Mytilus edulis: one gene and its partners. The protein of the gene in region 1 interacts with the protein of each later gene in a pairwise test. Links are inferred from orthologs where the notes say so. Each region holds a gene or a part of one and is shown on either strand. Other genes may lie near its edges.

Region 1 (7,674 bases):
TCAAGTAAATAAGAAAATCGCGAATTTTAAAAGGCGCGAAACGGACTAGAATTGGTAAAACGCGAAATAAAGTATCCGCGAAAATAAGTTGGTTTACAGTATGTTCATTTGTGTGTTTACATGCACATATGTTGAATATGTCTATAAAAAGAAAAAAGGATGCAAACTTTTAATCATATGAAATATCTACATTGTACATATTGTAGGATGTTTGGTGTATATTTAACCTACTTTAGATCTTCACTATCTTTTCTGTTTTCTATGGAGTCTGGAGAATCTTTGGTCTGAATTTAAATAGGAGACTTTCAGATTACTAAATCTACACACATACAAGCAAATGTAAATACAAATGTATATAACTTTTTTTACATACTTATAAAATTCTACAATAACACTAAACTTCTTTAATAACATACAGGTATTCATCTAATAACTGTCATTGTTGGTTGACTAACAAGTGTAGACAAGTGAGCATTACTTGGATATATATGCTAGTGAGGAATTATACAATAAATATTAAATCTATAAGAAATATTTGCTCTCTCAAAGAATATCTAATATCTAATGTAGAAAATTTTGTTTTATTCATAATTTAAAAAAAAATCTACTACATACTGAAATTGAAACATGTCCTATCAGTAAATGTATCTATTACAAAAACATTAATTACATCATTACAGATAGAATATGTTTTACTCAGATCTTATCTGCTTTAGAATAACAAGGTACAAATGTTTGTCTTGAAAGTGTTTTACCTGGATTATATCTGTTGCAGAATTACCATTTAGGTTTTGGAATGTGTTTTCAGCTGTATGCTTAATTTCATTTTCTGGGTTCTGTGTACTTTCGTCATTAATCTTAGACTTTTTAGCATTTGCTGGAGAAGTTTTCCCAGTTTTCTTCTTAAACTGGTTCAACTGAAACAGAAATATAAAATTTATCCATTCATTACTGCAATTTAATTAATTATAATATGCCAGTCAAAACCAATAATCTTTCAGTTCACTAAGTTCCAAATTAAATATCTCTTTTCACATTTATGTTTTCTAGTTAGCATGGTTAGTGAGTCGACTCATGCTCCTGTCACGAGAGCATTCAATAAAGTATTATTTTCTTTTCATGAATATAACAATTTAATTTGTAAATTTTTGCTGCATATCAATCAATCCCTTTGGAATTTTCCCCCAAACTTCTCTAACCTAGCTGTATACATTTGTCCATATGCAGATAAAATCGCATGTTCCAGAACAGTAATTTGTATTGTAGAAAGTTTTAGGAAAATTCCTTTCCAAAACAAAACACCTGTCAACCCAATTAATGCACAAACACACACAATATAAAATAGTATGGACAATTCAATTGTAACCAATATGTCTTAAAATGCAATTTCCCACTGCTCAGTATATATTTAGCAGCATACCAGTCAACCTCTGAAACCTTTAAAGAGGGAGATCTCCCCTGCTTTGTCATAGATTTTGCATGAACGACATTTTCAAGTTAAATACATTTGTATATGACCTGTTTCTACAAAACTCCAACAAAAGTTAAATAAATATACTTTTTTCTTTGATTCACTGTTATAATCTATACAAGCTTGGGTTTTCAGCCTGTTTCAACACCTTCTACAATGTTCAAGTCTCATAGCTCATAATATTCCATATTTTGATTTCTTTATATATATATATGAGTTCTTTACTATTTACAAGCACGCTTACAAACATCGAACAGACCACCAGCAGAAATTCAATGATTTGAAAAAAGATTTATTGCCTAGTGAACTTGGTCATAAAAATTAAAATAAATCATTCAAATCTGCTCGACATTAGGATTTGCATTCATCTATATCTTTTTTACTCTGCCGCTTGATCTAGACAGACCTCTATCTTATTGGACTGGAGTTTACATTAGGGAGCTACCATTTGATTTTTATGGGGGGGGGGGGGGGCTAGGATGAAAAATGTTGTCCTGAATTTTTTTTTAGTTGTAATCTCTGTCCTGCCTTTTTATTTTTCACTCTATTCTGTCCTGCATTTTTTTTAGTTTATCCTGACTTTGTTAACCTAAATTGTCATCCTGACTTTTTTTTTGCAAGTGTCTCATCCTGCCTTTTTTTTTTAATCAAAATTCCTGTCCTGCCTATTTTTTTCAAATTTCATCCTAGCCCCCCCCCCCCATAAAAATCAAATGGTAGCTCCCTTACATAGCAGGACTGAATTGTGATTCCTAATTATATATGGAAGGGACATTAAAAATTCTGTCAGACCTAAGTTTTCAAATGATTGCTGATTGTTAGGTTTATTTCTATATTGAAATCAATGAATAAGTCATGAGAAATACAATCTTCGGTTATTCTAGGTCAAAATATAAAAGCAAGATATAATTTCGTCGTTTGCACAGGGGTATCCTACTCAAAACAAGACTCAGAGGGTTGGTAGGTATGTTTCGAGGCGTCTGTCTTGTACATTTGCAGAAGTGCTAGAATTGATCACTGTTGATTAACTGTTTTTACCACCAAGTTGCGGACCAAGGCTCCTACGCTCCAGCTCATTTTGCCTTAATGATCATATCAGTTATGCTGATTAATACTATATCACAGCAAACAGACAGTCCCTATTAATTTAATAACATGTATCAGCTCATTTGAGCTGATGTTTTCTTTATTTGCCGACTCTAAATAAAGCTTATTTTTTTATTATTGTGTGCATAAACGAACTGATGAACCGGCTGCTGTCAAAATAAAAGAAGAGAGAAAGAAAGAAAATATACAGAAACCAAACTGTACATATCGGTCATTTGATTTGGAAAAAATGCTCTTCCTTTACTGTACAATATATATAAATTGAGTGATAAAGGGATAATGGAATAGGATGATAACCTTCTTCCTAGCAGCAGCGATTTTCTCCCGTTTCGCAGTGTCGGCCATTCTTTACCGGATATTGCATGTGCGTGCGCATTTTCATGACACGCAGTCAGTTTGTAAAGAATCTACACGTTTAAAACGTTTTCAGGTAACTTTTTCAGTCTTGTACAACTAAAAATTACATTAACTTTCAAAAATCAAACGTTTTGCACTCCTTGTAGGAAAAGAAGTTTAGATACAGTTTACGACAGCTTTTCGGAGCATCTCTGTCTGTTTCCATAGATAAAAATGGCGCGAAAGTGAGAAGACCACAAATTTTTACCCTGAAGATCTTTGAGCTGTTTAATAAAGTAAGTCCACATTACTATATCTTGAATTTCATACTTAATATAAAACATATGAAAACGAGTTGCCTCTATCAAGCACGCTCCAGTTCAAAATTGTTAAATCCAAAATAATTTAAACAGTTATCAGTCAGTAGAAATTTTAATTTTATCTTCATTATATGTTTATGTGTTAAGAATCAGAATGTATTGTTTATTGTTGTCATTATGTCCCGCCAGGGGCCCTTAATTGGAAATAAAGAACTTTGAACTTATAATTAAGGATTTGTATATCCTTGTTATAATTTATTATAATAATTTATTTTATCATTATTAATTTGACATTAATTTGATTTCAAAAATTTATACTGTTCATGTAAACAGCACCTTTATGAGAGTCCTAAAGGGGATACCTACATGACGAACAATGGTAAAAATTCTTGCTGAATGAAGTGAACCAGTAATTTTTATGATAAAACGTACACTTTCTTTTATAGTCCAATATATACATTGTATTATAGGTTCATGTACATCATACAATCATTAGTATGAAATTAATGTTGATTGTTCTGCTCCATGTGCATGTTGCGGGTGCTGTGATTAGCAATAGAATATTTGTTTGTTTGTACATTTATATATAAGTTTTGTTTTTATACGACCCCAAAAAATTTTTGGGATTGGGCCTAAAATAAAATTTCATTTGTTTGGCATTGCCGCCCGACCCACTGAAAAACTTGCCGCCCAAATAATTTTATTTGCGTTTCAGAAATATATTTTTTTTAATTTAAAAATATCGAAATTGTGCCGGAAATTGATCGTATCCACCGAGTTTGTTCCTGGCTTTACTTATTTCAAATCATGATCTTAAAAGCGCTTGCCTTACACTGTATTGGGAGCAAACATTTAAATGACATGAAATAGAAAAAGTCTGCCAAAAGTAATATCAAAGAGGCCGGCAGGGGAAGGCATCTCCCTATGCTGCAATGTTAAAACCCATTCAAGGCGTATGATGCCATTATAAGGCATCACCTTGGTACCGCCGTATGATGCCTTAATGCATCACCTTGCTACGGCCGCGTGATGCCATAATGCATCATGGAAAACGAAAAATACTCTGACCTACTTTCAGTTTTAATATTAGATCAATTACGTAAAGCTGTAAAGCGTACGTTACCACAATGTGTGAACAGGTTTCAATTATTAATATTATGTATAAATTTTGACAATAAAAGTCATTGGTATGTCATTTCTTCGTACTTTCGATTTGCGTTCATGATAAAATAATATGCCGCCATTTTTTTTAATTTTGTTGACATGTGTAGTCAACGTGATCGCTTTAAAAAATGAAAGGTCATATCCTTACACACAAAATATTTAAACCATGTGTGTACCGCTGTTTTAAAAATTAATAATATTTACTTATGACTGTTTAATAAAAAAGATAAGCCGGTAATGGCTGTCTCTTTCTGTATCATCTTCGCATGTTGTTGATTTACGCTCTGTTGACGATCGGAAGATGGATTTTATCAAAATTCAAATTTCAGCTATTCTTTGAAAGAAACGTTCTGAGAGACCTTGTAGAGGACTCAGATTTATCTTTTGTAAAGCAGAAACAGATGATTTCTGCTTGAATTTGTCGCTTCATGAGATAGAAGTTTTTCACCGGGACATCACAGAACAAATATGCGTGGCTCTTACATTTGATGAACTTATTAAATATTTGAAATTTATCATTGACAAATTTTCCCTTGAACCAGAGAACAAAGTATCTACTATAGTCAGACCCACAATGATGCATTCAAGATAATTATGGCTGTAAGCACCAAAGCTTAAAGACCATAATGATTTACAGGTTTATAGTAGTTTTGTACCAGTAGATGCTAGCCTGGAACAAAACATACATATTTTAAAGACTAGCATCTTGTGTCAATTGAAGTACTTCCCCCTTTTCTTGCCTTTCTTCTTAACATGAATAAGATAATTCTTAAAACATAAAAGATACTGACAGAAACATATTTATAAATGAATCCAGTGTACTAGTGATGAATAAAATCCCCTCTTTTTCCACAATTCTAAGGGCTCATTAATTTATCTGTATTCATGTAATGCATGTCCAGATTTCTGTTAATCAAACAAGCATTACAACCAATAATTTATTTATCTGCAAAAATTGTCTGTCCTGCTGCATAATTCCATTTTGAATTTATCATACGTTTTAAATCCCTGAAAAACCTTGCACTTGGATAATATTAGTATAAACACCATGTCTATTTGTGCCAACCTTCCAAATTTTTGATATTTTGCTATCCTAATTTGGAACAGATCCTTTATCCTCAAAACTTATCAGGCATGTTTTTATTGTAGTTCGTCACACCTTACATGTATGATTACTAGCCTCCAGGTATTGGTTTGAGCCCTAGTTGGGCAGTTGCAAAATTAAGGTTTGATTTTCATGTCAGATGTGATAAGGTTAGTCAGTTTCCTCCCACAGGTTGCCATTTTCCTTCAAGTACTACGGTTTAGTATGGCACTAAAACTGACTGCCATGAAATTACCCATATGGTGTAGAAAGTGATGTTTATAAAACCAAAGCAAAGTTTTAAATCTTTGTCCATTTGTACAAGGAGCCGTAGTGGTTGAGCCATTTAAATTATGGTAATTTTACCAAACTGTGACCACAACTTCAAGATGTGACATCAGGCCTCTGTTCAATGGGCAGTCCCACAATAAAAGTTCAATTTTCATGTCATACATTTTATATGGTTAATTTGTCAGTTTCCTGCCTCAGTTCTGTGTTTTTTTTCTGGGTACTTTGGTTAACTTTGCCAATAAAACTGACTGTCTTACGTGAAATTATCCATATGATGTAGAATGTGACATTGATGGTTGACTCCTTTCAAAGAAACCACCAGCATGTACACACAACAATGCTGCAATGCTTGAGACAACATTGATCTGGAGACTTCATGATTTACATGTATAAGGCTTTTAAATGTAAAAAAAAAAAAATCCCTACCTACCTACCCACCTGCTGATAGTGTGGGTCGGCAATGCCAAACAAACAATATTTTAAGGGTGGCCTTGTATAATGGTATGATGACTGATGTCGTCGTCGTCCGAAGACACTTTGGTTTCCTGAAAATAACTTTTGTTTAAGTGAATAGATCTTTTATGAAATTTTTTCAGAAGGTTCAATACACCAAAAGGAAGGTTGGGATCAGTTTTGGGGATGATGGTCCCAACCATTTAGGAATTAGGGGCCCAAAAGGGGCCTAAAACAAGCATTTTTCTAGTTTCAGGAGTATAACTTGTGCACAAGTATTTTAATTGCTCTGAAATTAAACCGCAATGTTTAAAACCACAAGTAGAAGGTTTGGATTCATTTTAGGGATTATGGGGCCAAAGTTTAGGAATTCAGAACCAAAACGAGCATTTTCTAGTTTCCAGACAATTACTTGTGTGTATTTGTATGGATCTCTCTGAAATTGTACCACAATGTACCATATAACAAAGGGGAGACTGGGATTAAGTTTTGGGTTAATTGCCCCAAAATTGTAGGAATAAGGGGCCAAAAAGAAGCATGCATGTTTCTAGTTTCCAAACAATCATGACAATAAGTTGTGTTTAAGTGTATGGATCTCTCTAATATTGTACTACAAGGTTCAATACTACAAAGGAAAGCATGGGATTGAGTTTAAGGGTTATTGCCCCAAGGGGGGTTTCAAAAAGTTTGGGGGGGAGGGGGGATTTTGCTTTTACCATTTTTTAAAGGGATTTCTTTTTTTTCAGAATTTTTTAAATTTCGAATTCTGAAAAGTTTCAAGAAGAAATTTTCAATTGCACAGTATTGTGCAATAGATTTGTTAGATTTTTGACCACATTAATTTTGTGACAAAAACCTATATTATGTCAAAAATTTGATCACAATCCAAATTCTGACAGTATCAAGCTTGAATATTGTGACTAAATTTGCCCCAACTGTTCAGGGTTCGACCACTGGGGATAAAGCTGTGCCCTGCGGAGCACCTGGTTTAATAAGTATATTTATGTGATTAGAAATTGCTTTACAACGTTCCAAGATGAGGGGTCAAGAGAAACCATTGGCTTATGAAAACTTTATCAGTTTAAATATTGCAGTAACTGTTCTCTCAAAGACTTTTTAGCATCATGATAATATGATGCTTATAGATTAGATGGTGTTGATGATGTGATGCTATGATTTCTTGAAGCCAGATTTTATTTCAAATTATCCTTTTTACCAGGATTATACATGTTTATGTGATTTTATGTGACAATGTTCTATTGTTCTGACAAACTGAATTACTGAACTGTTATTATTGAATGTAAATGTAAAAGTAGAACATGTATCAGGATTTCTTGTTTATTGTTGTAAATAAAGAACATTAGAATTTCTTGTACATTTTGACAGTTGTATATAGATATCTAATGAAAAGTGTAAATATTTATATGTAGAAATCAAAATGGAAGGTT
Region 2 (7,754 bases), about 21 Mb from region 1:
CAAGAATAATACTGGGCCCAGAACTGTGCCTTGAGGGACACCTGATGTGACTGGGGCTAGGTCAGATGACTCTCCATCCAGGACAACTGTTTGTGTTCTGTCATTTAAGAAGGCAGAGACCCAGTTTAAAGTTTCATTTTGGATACCGTAATAGTGTAATTTATAGAGTTATCTTTCATGAGGAACTTTGTCAAAGGTTTTGACAAAGTCCATTATAATTAAGTCTATTTGAGTGTTGTTGTTATCATTTGCTGCAAGTTCTTGGATGAATGAAATGAGTTGAGTTTCGCAAGATCTAGACTGACGGAAGCCATGCTGGATGTCATACAGTATATTGTTCGTTTCAAGATGGTTGATGATTTGTTTAGTGATGATATGCTCCATAAGTTTACAGAAAATACATGTCAATGATATAGGACGGTAATTTTCTGGTTTATATTTTCCCCCTTTTTTAAGTACTGGTGCTACGTTGGCGTGTTTCCAGTCTGATGGTATAAAGCAAGTTTCAAGTGATGTTTTGAAGATAAGTGTAAGAATTGGAGCTGTTTGGTCATTGAGTTCTTTAAGTATTCTGCCTCTGATATTGTCTGGGCCGGTTGCCTTTTGTGGGTTTATAGTGTGTAGGAGTTTCTTGACACCAGGTTAAGATATTTCGAGTGGTGTTATCACAGGATGTGAAAGGAAAAGAGGGACGAAAGATACCAAATGGACAGTCAAACTCATAAATCTAAAACAAACTGACAACGACATGGCTAAAAATGAAAAAGACAAACAGAAAAAACAATAGTACACATGACACAACATAGAAAACTAAAGAATAAACAACACGAACCCCACCAAAAACTAGGGGTGATCTCAGGTGCTCCGGAAGGGTAAGCAGATCCTGCTCCACATGTGGCACCCGTCGTGTTGCTTATGTGATTACAAATCCGGTAAATAGTCTAATTCGGTAGGTCACATTCATGAAAGGGAAGGGGATTGTAGCTACGACGTAAAGAACATATCCGATATCATTTGTGAACCGGTTATTCCATAACGGTCAACCAACTCGTGATGGCGTCCGTAAAATTTACGAAGGGATGATTTCAACTTCACCATTTGGAACTCTTGGTTTAATAGCTTTCTTGTGAGCAGTAACCCTCTATCAAGAAAATCATGATAGGAAATGCAAGCACGGGAATATCGTATCAATTGGGAGATATATACCCCGTATGCAGGTGCTGCTTGAATGTGGCTACTTAGAAATGGAAAGTTCACAATTGGAAAGTTGAAATCATCTCTTTTGTCGTAAAGTTTTGTTTTCAACCGACCCTCATTGTCAATTTCTAGATGTAAGTCAAGATATGAAGCCGACTTAACTGTATCTGTAGTATCCTTTATCTCCAATTCGATGAGATAGATGCGTTCCACATAGTCACCAACTTTTGAATTGTTTAGTGAAAGAACGTCATCTAAATAGCGGAAAGTAGAGTTAAAGGATATTGCTAACTTCTTATCTTTCTTCCTAAGAAGTTCCTGCATGAAGTCAGCCTCATAATAATAAAGAAACAAGTCGGCAAGTAGAGGGGCACAGTTTGTTCCCATTGGGATGCCGACAGTCTGTTGAAAAATACGTCCTCCGAACGTTACAAACATGTTGTCAATCAAGAAATCAAGCATCTTGATAATATCGGTTTCAGAGAATTTTATTGTTTGAATCAGAGTGATTCTTTACAAAGTATGATTTATCCCTCCCTAAGACAAGATACTTGTATCTACGTTGGCCATTCTTTTTTATGAAGCAAAGTAATACCAAATCTTTCAATTTGTCTTTTAGTTTGGAATGTGGAATACTTGTGTAAAGAGTAGAAAAGTCAAATGTTTTAATACTGTTACAAGATGAAAGAGAGTTAGATTGTATGTACTCTAAAAGATCTTTGGAATTTTTAAGTATCCACATCTGATTCCCGCCACCTCTAGAATAGGCAGTTTCACAATAACTTTGAAGCTCGTCTTTGATTGCTGATAAAATAGATGTTAATAATTTAGAAAGAGGTTTCGTGGAGCACTTGGAAGACCCAGCAATATACCGTTGTTTGTAAGGACACTTATGTAGTTTAGGTATCCAATACAGTGATGGAAGATCCAGTTCTTCATCTTTGGTTGAAATACCAAAGGAACAAAGAACAGACCTATGATTATCCAGGATTTCCTCTTTGGTAATTGTCGTGAGGGTATATGTTGAGTTTCCAAGTGAATTGTCTATACCTAATTCGTTTATCAAGCAATTAATGTAGTGACTTTTACAGACAAAAACGATGTTATTTGGGGCTTTGTCTGCGGGGACAACAACATATTTATCATGGAGGTCGGATAAGTGTTTAGCAACATTTGGGTCTTTAAAGATTGACGTAGCATGGGCATTGGTGGACCCATTCAGTTTCTTGATTCTAATTTGTATTAACGACCTCACTGCCTTAATCCATTCGGATAGAGTGTCTACGTCTTCCTTTTCACGTTTAGCCCATTGCCTGGCATAATCCTCGACTGAGTCCATCAAAATTTTAAAGTTGTATTTCCAATTGATGGATTTAGGCTCACGATATTTCGGACCTTTCGATAACACATTTCGTAGAGAAGTGTTATTAGCAATGTTAAGGTCACCGGTAATAACGTGGCCAGCAGGATTATATATGAATTGGGAACTAGCACAAGTGCAATCAGGAGGTTTAGACTTGAAGTCGTCAATATCAAGATTCTGCAAAACGCGTTTGTAATTGAAAATTTTAGTTGCAATAGGTTTGGTATAGGTATAAGAAATTATTGGTACAGACTAGTCTTTGAAATAAGGAGGTATTTTCGATTGAACTAATTTATGATGAAGGATATTGCCTAGGTTGACGCCATCGAGACCTTTGTTGGCAAAGGAAAGATTTAGAAAAGATTTTTTCTCTTTTTCATCTTTTCCAATGCGAACTGGCTTGAAAAGTCTGTGACTTGCAATATCCGAAATTATAGCTTGAAGTTTGTATTGGTTTGAATGAGGGTTTGTAACAGTGGATTCCAAACATAAATTGAACAGAGAATGAAGTTTTGAAAGGGGTAATGAATAAAGTTTCGTGCGAATGTGATGAATACCTAACGGCTTTTGTATGAATGACAGCAAGTCATTAATAGAGACATCATGCAGGGAAGGTGATGTATAATGACGATGACCATGACTGCGTCTACGTCGAGGAGTCGAGTTGAAAATATTCATCACATTCACCGAGTTACACGAAGGACTAGATAGAATACCTATACCATCAATTTTGTCATTGCAGCCATACGGTGTTGCAGTTCCCAATTGTCTAATCCAGTAGTCTTCTTTTTGTCTACGGAGAGTCGTTGAAATATTAGGATTGTTAGAGCTATGGTATATCTTTTCGATAATGCGAACTGTCATAGAAACGATGGAATGATCGGGCTGATTGAAATGCTGGTATAGAATGTCGTTAGCATTGAGGTTAATGTCTGATCTATGACCGCACATACGTTTGTTTAGCCTTCCTTTCGTTTCACCGACGTATACCAATCCGCAAAGGTTGCACAAAGGTGTGAGCTAGGACCTTTGTCTGGAATGGTGTTATTTGATTCAGTTGTAAACACTGATTGGAATTGTGTGTTGAGGATGTCTGCCTTTTGCTTTGTATCATCTATTAACTGTCCTTTTTTTAGTGGTGCGACACCGTTGTTATCTGTGCTCAGTGATTTAATAAAGGAAAATAGCTTTTTAGGTTTAGATTGATTGTTGCACTGTTGGTCTGGTTCATTTATGGGTAGGTCTAATATCATTTTTTCAATATAACCCCAGTATGCAGTTCTTTGTTCTTTTTGTACTTGTTTTCTCAGACGTCGGTACTTTTCAGCATACCTGGTGTCTTGTTTCATTTTATGATATAGCTTGTTTTTTTCTATTTATCATTTTCCTTAAATTGTTGTGAATCCAAGGTAGTCTATTTTTGTATGTTAGGAACTTATGAGGAATGTTGTTTTCCACCGATTTTGTAAGGTTTGTTTTAAATGTGTCAACTTCCACATGTCATTTACATTTGTTTTGTCCTCTAGGTTTAGTAGATCTTTGTATGTTTTTTCTAGATCTGATTTGATGTTACTCCAGTTAGATTTGTTGTATTTCAATATTTTTCTAGGTTTTTCTCTCACCCTGCGCAACCAAATGTCAGATTCTACATAAACAATGTCGTGGTCACTAAGGCCTATTGGTGGTAGTGTACTAACCTTGTTAATGTTGGATGGATTATTGACTAGTACTAAATCTAAAAAAAAATCTTTCCGTGTTGTTATGTTCACTATAATTTGATGAAAGTTTCTATCGATAATTTTTATAGCACTCTACTGTGCTGAGAAAGGAAATCATCAGTCAGTGAGATCAAAGCAACATTTCGTAAATTAGCTACAAATACATTTCTAACGACAAAACATATCATTTATCTATATGTTTAACTTAACAAATATTTTCGGTTATCAATAAAAAGCGCAAGGAAATACCTGAGGCAACATATATAACATCGCTATAACCTCTCAGTGTTATCAGTGAGGGCTCAGCCAATGCAAAAATATCTTGATACATTAAGTATTTATACGTTTTCCTAAAATTCAAATCATATACTGAAAGAGTTGTTCATGAATAATATCGCTAAGCCGCGCGCGATCTCTACCAGGAACGGTCGAAAATTACGTCATCGATCAATCAGTTTAAACTGAGACGTAATAGCAGACGAAGCATTGTACCATATAGGAAATTTAAGGGAAGTTGCACGAATTCGGAAGTTGTGTGTTACGGATATTTTCATGAAAAGATACAGATAAATGCCATATATAGTACAATCCACTTCAATCAGTGAATATTCTACGACGATCGAGCATTTGTATATTTACAAAGCCTTGTGACGACACAGTATAGCGGTACGGCAAAATAATGTGCTCCTCTTAACGGAGGAAGTTAGAGGTTTCTATTTGGACACAGGTCAAAGCGTTCTGTTAGTTTCTTTCCCCTGTCCACAATAAACGCATACTTTTTTTCAAAATAAATAATTTTTCGAGGTTTATGTGAAAGGTATGCAGAAAACTGGACAGTCTTTACAGGTAAGTTTACAGATGAAAAGAATAATGCTACAGTACCCAATATTCACCCAATGTGAAAGCAACGTAAATCTAGATTTTCAACTCTTTTTTTCCGTCGTCTTCTCTCATTCTCCGTCTACAAGTCTAGTGTACTTATAACATTCTTTTAAAGAATCCAGTCCTTAGCATGGAAGAAGAAAAAGAAGAAGAAATTATCATGATTATGTCCAAGAGAGGATTATCTACAATAGAGATTACCCTGTCATCACGACAAAGATTGAAGATTATGTCTCAAAATGCATAAAAAACACACCGAACAAATATGACTAATATTATCCTAAGATGATACTTTCCATTGACCTAAGTGCTATTTGTCTGCCATTACTGGAAGTCACAACAGATGTACCCATTCCAGTTTAAATTTTGGTCTGGGGACAGAGATGTGTGTGGGAGGGTAAAAATCACCCTTCTGATGTACTGACAGGGGCGTAGCTAGCTATTCATTCAACTGTAGTCACAAATCGGCAGGGGGTCTGGAGGCCACTTATGAATTATGGGTAATAAGTAGCATTTAACCATTGGTTAAGTAACTTATCCAGTGGCTTACTAACCATGCTAACCAGACTCCCATTTAACCATGGAGCAATGGAAAAATAGCCAACGGATAGTAAGCCACTGGATAACATAATTAGCCGTTGGATAAGCTAACCAATGGTTAAATTTAGCCATAGATTTGAGCAACCCAGTCCAGGTAGGGGGTTCAGGGGGGGGCGAAACCCCCTGACTGAAAATGGTTTTCAGCGTTTTAGCTGCAAAATTTTATGTACTAAAATATTAAATTTACTGGTTATTTAATCATGATAATTATAAAATACATGATGAAAATTTCGTAGAATTATGAATAATGTACCATAACATCTGACTGGTGAAAATTTTTAAATAACACAGTACAATCCGTAATATAAAGAAAAATATTTACAATATGCATTGCCCAGCGTAGATCAGCGTATCCCTTTAATTTTAGCAGTACACCCTGTTTTGTATTATCATATCTATTCCGTTCTGATTGATATATACGTTAACTTAATTAATAGTACATATTGACGATCCTTCATTAAAAAAGATAGGCATGTAAACACTGATACTACAAATGTACTATATAATAGAACTATCCTTTTGGCTAGACATCAACCATCAATCTTTTGAATCTTAAACCTTCACCCTAAGGCCTAACAAAATTCAAATTTCTTTATATATCCTCTTCTGTAAAATCCCTACCTGCTTAGGAATTTTGAATAATTGTGGCCATTACACGCAGATTTGAGAGTACTCAAAATTACTGGAAGCCAGTTGATTGATTGATTTGTTTACATCCAGTGTCAAATATTTATGCAATTTCAGGACCGTTGAATTTTCTTTTTGCAATAAATACAACTTGGAGCTAGGTCCTGTAATAGGTGTCATCCAGGACGAAGGTCTGGAAATTTAAAAATACCATGCATTGGAAAATGAGGGATTATTGGATAGGAGCAGAAGTTTTGCCTTTCAGTAGACCAACTACGAACTCCTTAAATAGTTGCATTCTCTCTACAACTAGGCATCTGATTTAATGTTCCCATTCTGACCAGATGTGACTGCGTATTTATACATCCTGCACACCCAAACAGATGACCAACATTGGCATTTCGGGTGAAGACAATGTGGTAAACTATTTGAAAACTGACAACAACTAATTAAAAAACTCATGTGTCTAAGTTAAGGTTCATTCAAGTTTTTGTTGATAGAAGTGAAATGATCTGAGCAAAGTTATAGTTTTAACATGTTTAATATAGTTTTTATATAATGTAAAATCGTAAAAACATTAAATTCTATCTCATATTCCATTCACTCAAGGAGGAGAGACTAGTGTACACATGACATTGGATAATTTAAGAGTTTTGACAACTTCACCAGCTTTCATCTACAGATAATGTTGTTTATTATTTTTTTTTGATAAAAAAATATAAATGTGAAAAAATTATGTGTAGGCACGTGCCTAAAGTGCCTAACGGCAGCTACCCACCCCCCTGACTGATAGTTTGAGCTCCCAGAGTCAAAATCAAACTCAGAACCCTAAGCACAGTAGACATCTGTATATCAACCTCTTAGACCACAAACCCACACTAAAAGTGCTACAACCTTTTCATCCTCCACATACATTTGTACACCTTATCGCTATCTACTGGACATCACACAGGTTCCCGTAAAATTTTAACGTCATATAAGACATAATACAAAATATCTGAAACCACAATGGAAAAGTGATTGTTGTATGATGTCAATAGTTCAAGCAGGACAGATTCTCAGGTCCACCTGGAACAGTCAGAGCTCAGACATAAATAAGTCTGAATCTGCTTTTGACTCATAGAGGTCTAAATTTGTAAGTTTTAGGATTAGTCTCCCCTTAATGCAAGACAAAATATGACTTTAATAAGTCAAATCTTGTTAAGCAAGAAATAATTGACCACAATCAAAAAGTTGCATATATCGACTCCTACAAGTCGATAAGTGATCAAAATTGGTTAACTTCAAGACCCACGCATATTTATAAGGAGGTCATGCATCTAAATCAAATAATGACAACATTGAAAGACAATGCTTTGTCTTCTAAA
Region 3 (6,843 bases), on another chromosome or scaffold:
ATTTGAAATGAACTTTGTTTCTTTGTGTTCATTTAAGGGGACAAAGTCCCTTGTCATTTGAAATGAACTTTGTTTCTTCGTGTTCATAAGGGGATAGAGTCCCATATTACAGTAGAAAAATCAATAAAAAAAATAATGAAAAAAAAACATCAAGAAAATTTCCCGAAATTTTCAATGTACATGTACTTATGAACTAAAAATCGTTAACTTTTTTTTGGTCACTTTTAATTCCCACATTTGTGAGGAACACAAAAATCTACTTCCTTTTTCCTGTCTCTTTGTCATGAGACTTTGAGTATACTAAAGTAACACAATCCCAATTTCATTTTTAATAAATCTTTGTCTTTGAAATGAATTAACTTTACCTGATGATCACGTTTCTTTGTTAACATTGAACATGACATCATATCTTAAATAACGTAAGAAGTAAAATCTATAACAACAGAACCTTAATCTGAAATGTTATGGTATTTCCCTTTCTTTTTTAACAATTTTGAAGTTACAAAAAAATCATTCTTACAGACTTCGTCCCCTTTCACAGGTTATGCTAGTCCAAATAATTATGACATCTTGAAAGGTTATTTTTTTTCTTTCTTTGATGCCTTACGCCTTAAAGCAAAAATTTAAAATAGCCTTCCAAGACGTCATAATTATTTGGACTAAGGTAATGCCTGCCTCATATTAGCTAATAACGCTCTTCACGGTTAGTTCAGCCATATTGGATAGGGGCAGATTTTCATAACAGAGGTAAAAATGGTGTGTAAAACAGAGCAGTTGCTTGGAAAAATGCATAAGATTTCCCACACTTTCATACTACAAATGTATCTGCACCTCTTTCTAAAAAATCTGCCCCCTATATATATATATCAAATATGGCAGAACTAACCGTGAAGAACCCTATTCAACAGTAGCAAATGAGTAGATTTATGACATAACAAGTCAAGTTAATGTGCAATTGACAACTGCATCATCAAAATATAAAAAACGTTACGGAAAACTAGAGTCATTTATTACAGTAGAAAATTCAATAAAAAAAAAAAAATCGGGAAAATTTCCCGAATTTTTATTTGTACTAATGAACTCAAAATCGTTCAATTTTTTTTTTTGTCACGTTTTTGAATTTCTGGATCGGCGCAGAAATCTACTTCCGTTTCCGGTCTTGTTTACATGAGACTTTGAATAAAATGTATATTTATCAGTCTAAGAAAGGAACTAATACTAATTCATTAAAAAAAAAATGTTTGTTATTAAAAAAATGTTACCTGATGACAGTGTTTTTTTGTTTACATTGAATATGACGTCATACCTTAAATAACGTCACAATTAATATGGGGACGAAGTCCCCATTAACAGTAGAAAATTCAATAAAAAAAAAAAAAAAAAAAATCGGGAAAATTTTCCCGATATTTTCATTGTACTAATGAACTCAAAAATCATTCAATTTTTTTTTGTCGCGTTTTTGAATTTCCGGATCTGCACAGAAATCTACAATGTACTTTCTTTACCGGTCTCGTTTGTATGAAACTTTGAGTAAAATATATATTTATCAGTCTTGTATAAAATAGGAAGGAACGCAATACCAATTTCATTTTTAATAATTCCTCGATATGAAAAAACGTTACCTGATGATAGCATTTCTTTGTTTACATTGTATATGACGTCATAACTTTAATAACGTCACAACTAAAATCCCTAACATCAGAACCAAAATCCGGGAAACGTTACGGTATTTCCATTTCTTTTGTTTAACAAATATTAAAGTTACAAAAAAATAATTCATACAGACTTCGTCCCCATTTACAGGTAATGCCTGCCTCATATTATGGGGACGGAGTCCCCAATAACAGTAGAAAATTCAATAAAAAAAAAAATATGGGAAAATTTCCCGAATTTTTCATTGTACTAATGAACTCAAAATCGTTCAAATTTTTTGTGTCGTGTTTTGAAATCCCAGACCGGCGCAGAAATGTTCAATATACTTCCTTTTTCCGGTCCCGTTTGTATGAAACTTTGAGTAAAATATATATTTATCAGTCTAGTATAAAACAGGAAGGAACTCGCAATACCAATTTCATTTTTAATAATTCCTTGATATGAAAAAACGTTACCTAATGATAGCGTTTCTTTGTTTACATTGCATATGACGTCATAATTTAAATAACGTCACAACTAAAATCCCTAACAACAGAACCAAAATCGGAAACGTTACGGTATTTCCGTGTCTTTTTTTTTGACAAATAATTAAGTTACAAAAAAATAATTCATACAGACTTCGTCCCCATTTACAGGTAATGCCTGCCTCATATTATCCCTAACAACAGAACCAAAATCGGAAACGTTGCGTTATTTCTGTTTCTCATTTTAACAGTGTTGATTTAAAAAAAAAATAATCATAAACTTCTCCATTCACAGGTAATTCCTGCCTCATATTAGATATCATGATATTATTATTAGATGTACTGGAAGAATTTTTTGTGACAAGACCAAAATCCTCTCATCAGAGCCTAACAATAAACTGAAACCCTGCATTTCCCATAGAAATTATTATTGAATATAAAGTGATATATATGTCCTCATTTTACATTTCGTTAATACCTCTTCAGATTCTTGGAACATAAATTTCTTTTCAGTATGTTGGACTTGATCAACATTTTTTCCAGTCCAAGCTGGAGCTTGAGGAACTTGGGGTTTGTTTCTGTCCGATCTGACATTTGATGGTGCAGCCCAACCACCTTGAACTCTGGATCGACGTTTGCGATCTGTATTCATCTTGGATTGTAAGAAAAAAAATTAAAATATTTATAATTTTTGTGTTTATCTCATCAACCGGATGTATCCATGGGCGCCGCCATTTTATTTGCAGATGAAAGCACTTATGAAAATTTACTGTTACAGAAACAAAATAAATTTAACTTAAAACCAACTTAAATGTTAAAACTACAGCGCATCATAACTAACTAATGACATTTTGATGGTCTGGATGGGGACCACCAATTTTTATATTCCTTGAATTTCAAATGCACTTTTTTTCAAAGGAAATGATTTAACTATTAAAATTTACTCCTTTGTTTTGATTGTTATTGTCTTTCTATAAGAAGACGATTTCTTTATTGTGTACGTCGTTTAATTCATAAACATTTTAGTCACGCCCAAGTTATCTTTCAATACAAGTCCAGAAATGACAAGTGCAAACAATTCAGAAGAGAAAACCTAAGTTATGTACAAATAATGAACAAAAACAAATATGTAACACAGCAAAACAACAACAAACACTGAATTACAGGCTCTTGAACTTAATTGGGACAGGCACATATACTGCACGGTTACATACAGAATGTGGCATGGTTAAACATACCAGGTTAGCGGGATCCCAACTACCCCTAACCTGGGACAGTGGCATTACAGAACCGTAATATATATGAACAAACTATAAAAAAAAACCAGTTGGAAAAGGCAGGCACGTCTCATCTGATGAATACAAAAAGAAATACATCTAACAAAAACACTGAGTGGACGTGGCCGAGTACCGTTCGATGTTGGTATGTACAAGACTTGTACATCCCAACAACAAAAAGACACTAATTACAGATCTGAGGGTACTCAACAGTTACTGACAGATAGTTCAAAGCCAATACCAACAATTAAAATGGACAGTTTCTCACGGTAGGAAAAACGGGGGGTGGGGTGGTGGTGGTGGTGGTGGTGGTGGTGGTTGGAGGGGTTGGGGTTAACCTCTGTATTCATTCATTAATTGTTGAGATCATTTTACTCTATTGTTTCTATTTTAGCCCCATTAAATCACTATTTTTTTATTTTTTTTATTTTTTTATAGATTTACCTATTTTTCTATTCTTTAATTGTTTTAGTCGTTTATTCTGTACCTTTCGCCCACTATCATGGCATTATTCTGTAAACCCTATACACACTTTCACAAATACATAGATTTGGCTTGGAAGTTTGGCTCAGATATCTCAGTAGTCACCTCGGTAGCTTACAATTATTTAAAAAAAAAAACAAAAAAAACGGCAACACATGACGTATATTTCGCTTTGTTTCAGTGTCAACTGTGGCAATGATTTTTGCCTATTTGCATTTTATATAATTACAAAATGAAACAGTCAACACGAGTAGACTCTTGTGTCTATTATGTAATTGCATACTTACAATACTTACATTGGCACGGTCATTAAAAGAATACAAGAGAGGTAAAAATGAAATTAAAAAGAAATAACTTGAGTTTGATTTTGTAAACGAACGTTACTGAAATGATTGTTGCTTATTTAATTTTCAGTGGCAAATATTTCATGTATGTTCAGAACGAACTTTTTACTAATAACCTTTATTCTTTCTTAAATGCAAAAAAAAAAAAAGATTCGTAAGTTTAACTATCTCCTATCTCAGTTTGAGTTTACACAATGGTAATCTCCAAGGATCGTGAATGCTTAGGGCTTGTAGATCAATGTTGAACATTAAAAAAATATCAATCAAATGATTCAAATCGCTTTACAAGAAAAAAGAAAAAGAAAAAAGAAAGAAAAAAATGAGAAGAAAAAAAAGGAAAAGATGAATGATCAATGTATAAATACCTTAACGTATATAGCTTTTTTTGAATGATTTGAATTCTTCCTTTAAAGTGAAATTTTCAACAAAAAAATATTTGTATGCATAAAATTGAAAGCATCTTAAATGCCTTTTAGAAACTTATGTATTTATTAGAGAGCCGTTGTGTAGTGGTTAGTGCATCGGACTACTCAGTAACACATTTAATATATATTTCTAAAAAAACAACTTTATGATGACAATCCTATGAATTAATTATGATATTTATTATTTAGTGATTATTATAACCAAATTCAGTCATCTGTATATAATCAAATATGTTTCCTTTTGTTTTAAGGTGTACAAATATACAATTCCTTGAACAAAGTTACAGCAGTATTTCGCCAGACCTCAACAAACGAAAATGACAAATATCTTCATAAAACTTGTGACTAGTTTTTAGCACATTTTCTCACGAACTTTCTCGTTTTCCTTATAGATAAAAGGACATGTATATTTCAACATCAACAATCATTTAAAAAATGAAAAGAAAGAAGATGTCAAGAGACCAATAAAAGCACAGGTCGACGAAATACCGACAACAGATAATAATATGGTCAAGAGAAAAAAGATTAAACACCGAACACAAATATCAATAAATTCAGTTCCTGAGCAATTCATATTATATCTATAATTGTATGAGTTATAACATCTGTAAGGTATGCTGTGCTTTGCTTTATTTAATAAAAAAAAAATGGTATTTAGTTATACTTTTAAATGTACCCTCAAGCTTCACAATCTGATTAGGTAATTAGATATTCTCGGGTTTTATCCATTTAAATTTCTTCTTTAGATTTTACCATGTTAGAATAAATAGCTGTAGGTTATTGAATAATTATAAGCAATTTTCTCTTTGATATCATCATATGATATACAAATAAAGAGATGTGACAAGATTGACAAGATTGTCAATTAGACAACTACCCACCAGTGTCCAATTCACCTGGATGTAAGGAATCAAACTATACTTTAAGTTAAAGTTTAGCAATGAATATTATAGTATTAGAGTTATTTATTTACTAAATAATTTAGTATTAATATCATGATAGTTCATATTTACTGTTTAATATTTAACATAAACAATTTCATGGTACTAACAACAATTTAATTTTCAAATTTTAACAAAGAACATGTATAGATCATCTTACTATGCAAATCCTTTCTTTTACAAAGCCATGAGGCAGATTTAGGGGATGGGGTATTCCTAATTTCTATTAGTATTATGGTCAGATCATATGTTTTTGTACGTCATATGAATCAGTACTATGCATAGTTGTGACATCACAAGTCATTATTAATAGAACGAAAACCCATGAGACGAGGAAAATTATCTATATGATACCTACATGTACATGTATCATATCAAATATGGTTTGTAATCATTTTGAGCATTTTAAAATAAACATTAAATCTAGCAACAGTCTTAACTATTCCTGATAAACAATGTTTTATGTGCACTTCAGATTCGTGAATGTTATTTTCTTTTTTCCTGTAGCACACTTTTTATCTTCTTTGATACTCAGGCTGAATAATAGAATCTAAAAATAGTCAGACTCACTGTAGACATGATAGAGGGTGGTAATGGGGGTACCTTCATGACGAATAACGGTAAAAATTCTTGCCAAATGACGTTAACAGTAATTGGTGCATGATGATAAAACATGCACTTTCTTTTAGACGATAGAAAAATGGAATGATTTTGACGAATCACGTTAATTTCTTTCTAAAAATAACAGAAACGATAATTATTTGAGACCTCTGACGAATCACGATTAGGATATTTTGACAAATCACAGTAAAATTTAAATCAATTTGACGCTAACGGTAGCAGAAAATGGACATTTGATGCCTGACGGTAAAGGGCATTACTACCCTCATAATAGATCTCATTTGTTATATTACTATAAACCAATGTACAAATGATGTACAAGATACTTAAAGTCTATTATATACATATCATAGAATAAATTCATGTTTTCAATATTTTATCTAAATTTTCATTTTAAAAGTAATCAGGTAATCATAGTACAAAATGTAGTAATCATGGTAATTGAAGCAATTTATTACATCTACCAAGTAATTGGAAAGTAATTAATGACTCCATGTCTGCTCAGAGAATGGTTAATTGCTGCTTTGTAAATGTTCATGATTTCACATCAGCACAAAGTGTCTATATATTGCAATGATCAGAAAGAAAAAAAATGAAAATATAATGCACTGTTTAATTAAGCCCTTTTTTTGTTT

Evidence for each region. The genes of interacting proteins can lie anywhere in the genome.
Region 2: the proteins of golgin subfamily A member 2-like (region 1) and cyclin-H-like interact in binary tests that used the Homo sapiens proteins (3 or more experiments, as listed by UniProt). The link is inferred for Mytilus edulis from reciprocal best matches to the Homo sapiens genes GOLGA2 and CCNH.
Region 3: the proteins of golgin subfamily A member 2-like (region 1) and alpha-ketoglutarate-dependent dioxygenase alkB homolog 3-like interact in binary tests that used the Homo sapiens proteins (3 or more experiments, as listed by UniProt). The link is inferred for Mytilus edulis from reciprocal best matches to the Homo sapiens genes GOLGA2 and ALKBH3.

Annotation. Positions count from the first base shown.
Region 1 is NC_092345.1:23,876,992-23,884,665, forward strand, and holds the start of golgin subfamily A member 2-like, read right to left. Parts: upstream 3,001-7,674; 5' UTR 2,924-3,000; coding exon 2,876-2,923; intron 918-2,875; coding exon 756-917; intron 285-755; coding exon 232-284; intron 1-231. UniProt on the Homo sapiens protein: Peripheral membrane component of the cis-Golgi stack that acts as a membrane skeleton that maintains the structure of the Golgi apparatus, and as a vesicle thether that facilitates vesicle fusion to the Golgi membrane.
Region 2 is NC_092345.1:45,276,615-45,284,368, reverse strand, and holds the start of cyclin-H-like, read left to right. Parts: upstream 1-4,749; 5' UTR 4,750-4,944; exon of another isoform or gene 4,945-5,124; intron 5,125-7,754. UniProt on the Homo sapiens protein: Regulates CDK7, the catalytic subunit of the CDK-activating kinase (CAK) enzymatic complex. CAK activates the cyclin-associated kinases CDK1, CDK2, CDK4 and CDK6 by threonine phosphorylation.
Region 3 is NC_092353.1:42,728,059-42,734,901, forward strand, and holds the start of alpha-ketoglutarate-dependent dioxygenase alkB homolog 3-like, read right to left. Parts: upstream 3,006-6,843; 5' UTR 2,770-3,005; coding exon 2,596-2,769; intron 1-2,595. UniProt on the Homo sapiens protein: Dioxygenase that mediates demethylation of DNA and RNA containing 1-methyladenosine (m1A). Repairs alkylated DNA containing 1-methyladenosine (m1A) and 3-methylcytosine (m3C) by oxidative demethylation. Has a strong preference for single-stranded DNA.